Linked DNA regions of Macaca fascicularis. The protein of the gene in region 2 purifies or fractionates together with the protein of the main gene of each other region. This does not show direct contact. Links are inferred from orthologs where the notes say so. Each region holds a gene or a part of one and is shown on either strand. Other genes may lie near its edges. The genes, in order: AQR and PPIE.

Region 1 (4,369 bases), on a different chromosome or scaffold from region 2:
AGATGTCTATCAGCAGATGAATAGTTTATCAAACTGTGGTATGCCAGTAAAATGGAATGAATGTTAAGCAATAAAAAAGGAATGAACTACTGATACATGCAACAACATGAATCCATCTCAAAATCATTTCGTTGAGTGAAAGAAGGCATGCACTGTATTATTTCATTTATATAAAATTTCACGAAAAGCAAACTTTGGTGACAGAAAGCAGATCAGTGGTTGCCTGGAAAGTGGGTGGGAATAGTGAAAGGTACAGATTGCAAAAGTGCAGGAGGAAATTTTTAGGGGCTCATTATCATGATTTTGGCAACAGTTTCACAAATGTATGTTCATGTCAAAACGCATCAAATTTTACAACCTAAATATGTGTGGGTTATTGTATGTCAATTATTTTTATTATTATTTTATTTTTGTTTTTTGAGACGAGTCTCGCTCTGTCACCAGGCTGGAGTGCAATGGCACAATCTTGGCTCACTGCAACCTCTGCCTCCCTGCTTCAAGCGATTCTCCTGAATCCGAGTAGCTGGGACTACAGGCGAGCGCCACCATGCCCGGCTAATTTTTTTGTATTTTTTAGTAGAGACGGGGTTTCACCATGTTAGGGAGGTTGGTCTCGAATTCCTGACCTCAGGCAATCGGCCAGCTTCAGCCTCCCAAAATGCTGGGATTACAGGCATGAGCCACCGCGCCCGGCTGGGTTATGGTATGTCAGTTTTTACCGCCATAAAACTGTTAAGGCCTGTAATCCCAGTCCTTTGTGGGGCCGAGGCAGGTGGATCACCTGAGGTCGGGGAGTTCGAGACCAGCCTGACCAACATAGAGAAACCCCATCTCTACTAAAAATACAAAAATTAGCCGGGTGTGGTGGCGCATGCCTGTAATCCCTGTAATCCCAGCAACTCGGGAGGCTGAGGCAGGAGAATCGCTTGAACCCGGGAGGCGGAGGTTGCAGTGAGCCGAGATTGCGCCACTGCACTCCAGCCCGGGCAACAAGAGCGAAACGCCGTCTCAAGAAAAACAAAACTAAACTACAACACTGTTAAGGGCAGTTAAAAACCAGCCCATATTCCCAGGCTGTTTTTTTGTTTGTTTGTTTTGTTTTGTTTTTTCTTCGGGGTTGAAAAAAACCTAAATTCTCATTCACCGCACACGCTGCTCCTCACTAACCACGAGAAACCCCATCCAACACCATCCACCGGGTCCCTGCCTTGCCCTCCTAATCCCGCCAGCGGGGTGTCTTCTCTCTGCCGCCCGCTAGAGGGCGCGTACAGAGGAGGTCAAAGCTTTTGGCTCGCTAGCTCAGCCCCAACGCCTGCATGAACTTCCGGCTACACGCCATTCCGCTTCCCGGGGAACGCTTGGGCTGTAGTACGGGTTCCCTATGGGACTCTGAAGCCTGAGGATATCCGGCGCGCAACGTTTGTTCAGCGCGGAGTTAAGCGCCTCGGCCGTAACTTAGGGGAAGTGGACCAGGCTTGCCGCTGCCCAGGGCGGTCCTTTCGTTTCCACCGGAGTGGAGGGGAGCGTGCTACCATGGCAGCCCCTGCACAGCCCAAGAAGATCGTGGCCCCTACGGTGTCCCAGATTAACGCGGAGTTCGTGACCCAGGTGAGCTCGGGCGAGTCTGGTGTATGTGTGAGGGGGTAAGGACGTCGTGGCCCCGAGGCCTGGTGGTGGGGTTTTTTCTTTTTTTTTCCAGGACTAGGAGCACGGAGGAGGCATTCGTTTGTTAATTCATTCACACAAGTCTTTTTTGCTGAGTATGAGCTCCGTGCCGGCAGCTACGCTAGGTGCTGGGCATACCGTGGTGGATGGGTTGCCCTGGCCTGAGGGGTTCATGGCCTAAGAAAGACACATAGGCCGGGCGCGGTGGCTCAAGCCTGTAATCCCGGCACTTTGGGAGGCCGAGACGGGCGGATCACGAGGTCAGGAGATGGAGACCATCCTGGCTAACACGGTGAAACCCCGTCTCTACTAAAAAAATACAAAAAACCTAGCCGGGCGAGGTGGCGGCGCCTGTAGTCCCGGCTACTCGGGAGGCTGAGGCAGGAGAATGGCCTGAACCCGGGACACGGAGCTTGCAGTGAGCTGAGATCCGGCCACTGCACTCCAGCCTGGGCGACAGAGCGAGACTCCGTCTCAAAAAAAAAAAAAAAAAAAAAAAAAAGACACATAAAAAGAAAACTACTCTATGAGTTTTGCTGTATTGGAGTTTGCCTCAGGAGCAATTGATTCAGAGAGGAGGGAACACCCCAATCTATCTGAGACTGTCAAGCAGCCTTCGCAGCAGAGTGATGCTGGACTGCCTCTTCAAGTAGGAGTAGGCTTTTTCCTGGTCCGTAGAGTGTCCTGAGTTTTTGAGCAGCTATGAGAAACTGACAAGACACCTCCAAATAGACCCATTTAAGAAGAGAGTGATTCTGTAGTTGGAGAGCGTTCATTTAGAATCTGTTTACTATCTTGCATTGTGAGCCACAGTTGGCTTTGGATAGGGAAACACAGTCCTGTGGTTGTCAGCATCATTCCTCATTCTTACTCTTTATTTGCGAATTGCGTAAGAGTGTAAGTAGTTCAGTGTAGAAGTTATCATGCCCACCTGCTTCTTTATTCTTTATTCCTTGTCTCAACAGATTTGTCAGGGCAGAAGCCTAGGGAGAAATTTTGAATCCTCCCTTAATCCCTACATTTCTACATTCTGAGTATCTTTGGAATCTATCTGGTGTTCTACATCTCTGTCACCCTAAGCCTGGTTGCCATTGTTTTCTGCCTGGACGAAGGTATCCTAATCTGTTATATTGTTCTTCTTCTTGCTGTCCTCTAGCCCATTCTTCATGTTGCTTTCCGAGTGATTTTATACAAGTGCAAATCTCATCATATCACTTGCCTTCTTAAAATCTCTCCCTTCCTTTCCTTCCTTTTCTTCTTTCAAGATAGGGTCTCACTATGTTGCTCGGGCTCAAGTGATCCTTCCACCTCAGCCTCCCTTGTAGCGGGGACTACAGGGAACTACACTAAGGCTGACTGTCCTTAAAATCTTCAACCGGGCACGGTGGCTCATTCCTGTAATACCAGCACTTTGGGAGGCTGAGGCTGGTGGATCACCTGCGGTCAGAGTTTTAGACCAGCCTGACCAACATGGAGAAACCCCGTCTCTGCTAAAAATACAGAATTATCCAGGCGTGGTGGTGCATGCCTGTAATCCCAGCTTCTCAGGAGACTGAGGCTAGAGAATTGCTTGAACCCGGAAGGCGGAGGTTGCAATGAACCAAGATCCTCCCCAGAATAACTGGGGGTGAGGTGAAGATTTTCTATTGAGTTGGAGAGTGATTGGTAATTTGGGAAGGTGTTATTTATTTATTTATTTTTGAGATGGAGTCTTGCTCTGTTGCCCGGACTGGAGTGCAGTGGCTTGGTGTTGGCTCACTGCAATCTCCGCCTCCCAGGTTCAAGCGGTTCTCCTGCCTCAGCCTCCCGAGTAGCTGAGATTATAGGTACACAACCACCACGCCCGGCTAATTTTTGTATTTTTAGTAGAGATGGGGTTTTACCATATTGGCAAGGCTGGTCTTGAACTCCTGACCTCAGGTGATCCACCCGCCTCGGCCTCCCAGAGTGCTGAGATTACAGGCGTGAGCCACCACACCTGGCCGGAAGGTGTCATTTAAGTAGGAAGTTACTGTAATATTTTTAGAGGCTATTCCTCAGGGCCAGTGTCCTAACTGCTTGGGAGGCTCTTTAAGTGTGTTGTCTGTGCAGTTTATCGCTGAGCTATGAAAGCAAAGAAAACAGGTCCCATCTCTTAAGTATTCCAATTAAGTGAGAAGGAAAGTTGGATAAGCAATCATTTATAATGTAGAAAGGTAAGATTATAAAGAGTTATATACAAAATGAAGATGAAAAAGCAATTGTCGCCATCAGGTAGTGTTGAGGACAGCCTCACAGAAGTAACATTTCAGATTTTGCTTCATTTGTCCATCCATTTATCCATCAGACTTTGTGAGTGCCTCTGATATGCCAGATACTGCAGTCACCTTTTTATAAATATATTGAGTCTTTGTGCTTGCCAGTTTTCTATTTTTAAAGAGATTATAATTGGGTTTTAAAATAAAACCCTATGAGTAAGACTATGCTGTTTCTTTAAATATGTAGAGAGAGTTATATATTTGTTTAAATTTCACAGTTTACAGGTAAAGCCTAATCTGCTGAAATATGCCAACTCTTTTTTTTTTTTAATTTAAGTTTTTTTTTTTTTTTTTTTTTGAGACGGAGTCTCGCTCTGTCGCCCAGGCTGGAGTGCAGTGCCCGGATCTCAGCTCACTGCAAGCTCCGCCTCCCGGGTCCCCGCCATTCTCCTACCTCAGCCTCTCGA
Region 2 (3,767 bases):
GCCAGGCTGGTCTCAAACTTCTGACCTCGTGATTTGCCTGCCTTGGCCTCCCATAGTGTTGGGATTACAGGCGTGAGCCACCGCGCCTGGCACACATCTCCACAGGTGTGAAATGGTATCTCATTGTGGTTTTTATTTTTATTCCCGACTAATGATGTTGAACATCTTTTCATGTGCTTGTTGGCCATTTATATATGTTCTTTGGAGAACTATCTCTTCAAATCTTTGGCTTATATATTAACTGGATTGTTTGTTTTGTTTTTTTAAGAGACAGGATCTTGCTCTGTCTCCCAGGCTGGAGTGCAGTGGTGAGATCATGGCTTACTGTAGCTTTGAACTGTTGACCTCCAGTGATCCTCCTACCTTGACCTCCCAAAGCACTGGGATTACACCTTGCCTGGCCATTTTGTTGTTGAATTACAGGAGTTCATTATATATTCTGGATATTAAACCCATATTAAATATGATTTGCAAATCAGCATTCTCCTGTTCTGTAGGTTGCTTTGCCCTCTGTTGGTACAGTTTTTTGATGCACATCTTAAATTTTAATTCACATCTAATTATTTTTTCTTTCACCTGTGCTTTTGGTGTGACATTTAAGAAACCATTGCCAAATCCAGAGTCATGAAGATTTGCCCCTATGTTTTCTTCTAAGATCCTTTGGTTTTTCTTTTAAAAAATCAGTTTCCTACCAATTTAGTGTGGTTTTGGAAGAGAAAAGAGCTAGAACATGTATATTCAATCCCCTTTCATCATAATCTCTTAGAGTCCTGGCCAGGTGTGGTAGCTCACACCTGTAATCCCAGCACGTTGGGAGGCCAAGGCAGGCGGATCATCTGAGTTAGGAGTTCTAGACCAGCTTGGCCAACATAGTGAAACCCCATCTCTACTAAAAATACAACGTTAGCCAGGTGTATGGCGCATGCCTATAGTCCCAGCTACTCGAGAGGCTGAGGCAGGGGAATGACTTGAACCCAGGAGGTGGAGGTTGCAGTGAACTGAGATTGTGCCATTGCACTCCATCCTGGGCGACAAGAATGAAACTCCATCTCAAAGAAAAAGAATCCCTTAGTCCTTACAAGGTTACTATCACAAAGGTTTATAATGAGTATCCCTTATTTTAAAACAAAAATATGAACATTAAACAAGTTTTTTTGAGGTTTTGTTTGTTTTATTTTGTTCTGTTTTTTAACCCCAGCGCTTTTTCCTTTCTCAATTCTAGAGAATTTCCGCTGCCTGTGCACCCATGAAAAGGGCTTTGGCTTTAAAGGAAGCAGCTTCCACCGCATCATCCCCCAGTTCATGTGCCAGGGCGGTGATTTCACAAACCACAACGGTACTGGGGGCAAGTCCATCTATGGGAAGAAGTTCGATGATGAAAACTTTATCCTCAAGCACACAGGACCAGGTGGGAGCCAGCTGGCATGTGATGAGGGAGGCTTAGCAAGGGTGGGATGGCCACGCAGGATGAAAGGACAGGTTGTGGTTCTGGCTGACGGGACTAAGAGTCTGGAGGTGACCCAGCCACCAGACGCAGGAGAACCATGCAGCCTTGCTAGGGTGGAGTTGGCTTGCTTATATTCAGGTATTATCCATCCCCCAACTGTGTCCACACTTCCCATTATCCCAGCTTGGATTCTGTGGTCTGCCGTTGCAAGCGCATATGCCCTCAACCCCACTGCTCTCCCTGCCCCTGCCATCAGATTTACTTAGTAAAAGCTCGGTGGTTAGTCCCCCAGCAACTAGAGAAAAAACACAGAATTGTACTGAACGATCCCACTTGAAATTTATAACTATAGTTCTTAAGGGGGCCCTTGCCAACCTGACCAGATTTCCCTACTTGATGCTCAGTCCCAGCCAGAGATGATGTGTCCATGCCTGTCTTCACTTCTGAAGCCTTATATCATCACCTTCCCACCTCATCTAGTGCTTCGCCTCCTGCATCTCTCCACTCGTGCATGCTCTTTCTTCCAATTACAGGGGATGAGCTCTCTCTCGTAGGCCAGCCCCTCCACCTGTGGACTGGATCCCATCCCTCTCCTCTAGTTAGGAACATGGCTTCTAAAGTTGTCCCCTTCAGTCCATTAGCAAGAAAGCATGCAGTTATCAACCTTTAAAAAAATCTGCATCCGGTTGCCGGGTGCAGTGGCTCATGCCTGTGATCCCAGCATTTTGGGAGGCAGAGGCAGGCAGATCACCTGAGGTCAGGAGTTGGAGACGAGCCTGACTGACGTGGAGAAACCCCGTCTCTACTAAAAATACAAAATTAGCTGGGCATGGTGGCGCGTGCCTGTAATCCCAGCTACTTGGAAGGCTGAGGCAGGAGAATCACTTGAACCCGGGAGGCGAAGGTTGCGATGAGCCAAGATGGCGCCATTGCACTCCAGCCTAGGCAACAAGAGTGAAACTCCATCTCAAAAAAAAAAAGAAAAAAGTCTTCATCTTAGTACTCTTGTTCCCTCTCCAGCTATCACCCATGCCTCTGGTCCCCCATCTTTTTTCAAGAAGTAAAAGCATAACTTCTTGAAAGCATGGTACAGACTTGCTGCCTTCGCGTTTTCTCTAATCCCTTCTAGCCAGACTTCTAGTCCCATCTTGCCATTGAAACCACTCTTCAAAGATACCAGTAGCCAGTTCTTGGCGATCATCTTATCCCACCTCCCAGATGTTATCCCATCTCCCAGGAGCATTTCATACTACAGGTTGAATGTCCCTTTCTTGAAATGCTTGGGACCAGAAGTATTTTGTATTTTGAAATATTTGCATTATATTTACCAGTTGAGCATCCCAAATTGGAATATCTCAAATCTGAAATGCTCCAGTGAGCATTTCCCTTTGAGCATCATGTCGGTGCTCACGAAGTTTCAGATTTTGGAGCATTTTGGATTTTCACATTTGGGATGCTCAGCCTATACTAACTGTGTGCTCCTTGACTCCTTCACTTGGCTGGCAGGACTCCTACCTCTTCTTGTCTCCTTTTACCTAGATGGCTGCTTTGTCTGTCTTTGCTGTCTCCTTCTTTTCCTGACCCTTAAACACTGAAGTGGCTCAGAGCCCATTCTTTTGTTCTCCAGAAGCCTGTTACCCTGTGCTCCGTTTTTCTAACTGGTGGTTTGTAGAGCCCCTCTTTACTATACTGAACCGATATGTGTAGGTGATATAGCCCACTGACCCACACCATTATTTTAAAACTCAATATATCTGTAACTATAGTAGGGAAGAACATCAGAGGAAATAAATGAATTTGCATAGTAATCGAATGTGTTTCCAGATGTACATGCTTAAGCACAGCTGTGTCAGAACACAAAGTGAAGTTATTCAGGCGTCTGCACCTGTACTCAAATGCAGAGTTAGAAGTGTAGACGGGAGTGTCAACTGATAACTTGGATACCACTAGCAATGATGCTATTGGTGATACGACTTTGTGAAATGGTAAAGTTGATTAGATTCCAAAGTAAAGAATAATCTGTTTATTTACATAGTAGTTACATTCCTAGAAGATTCCATGCAAAACCAAAAGAACTCCAAAACTTTGGGCTTATATGTATAATGCAATTATGTTTTAGGTGCAGATAACTGTAAACACATTTTTTCCCTATACCGATATCTAATGGGCTATTCGTTGTTTTGTTGTTGTTGTTTGGTTTTTGTTTTTTTGAGATAGGGTCTCTGTTGCTCAGGCTGGAGTGCAGTGGTGCAAGACAGCTCACTGTAGCCTCAACCTCTCCAGCTAAAGCAGTCCTCCTGCCTAAGCCTCCCAAACAGCT

Evidence for each region.
Region 1: the proteins of PPIE (region 2) and AQR purify together in Homo sapiens (affinity purification with mass spectrometry; 5 studies listed by BioGRID and IntAct, counting the BioPlex papers as one, with this or other methods). This does not show direct contact. The link is inferred for Macaca fascicularis from reciprocal best matches to the Homo sapiens genes PPIE and AQR.

Annotation. Positions count from the first base shown.
Region 1 is NC_088381.1:11,494,826-11,499,194, reverse strand, and holds the start of AQR (RNA helicase aquarius), read left to right. Parts: upstream 1-1,398; 5' UTR 1,399-1,533; coding exon 1,534-1,608; intron 1,609-2,630; exon of another isoform or gene 2,631-2,777; intron 2,778-4,369.
Region 2 is NC_088375.1:195,146,499-195,150,265, reverse strand, and holds the end of PPIE (peptidyl-prolyl cis-trans isomerase E), read left to right. Parts: intron 1-1,222; coding exon 1,223-1,713; 3' UTR 1,714-3,255; downstream 3,256-3,767. UniProt on the Homo sapiens protein: Involved in pre-mRNA splicing as component of the spliceosome. Combines RNA-binding and PPIase activities.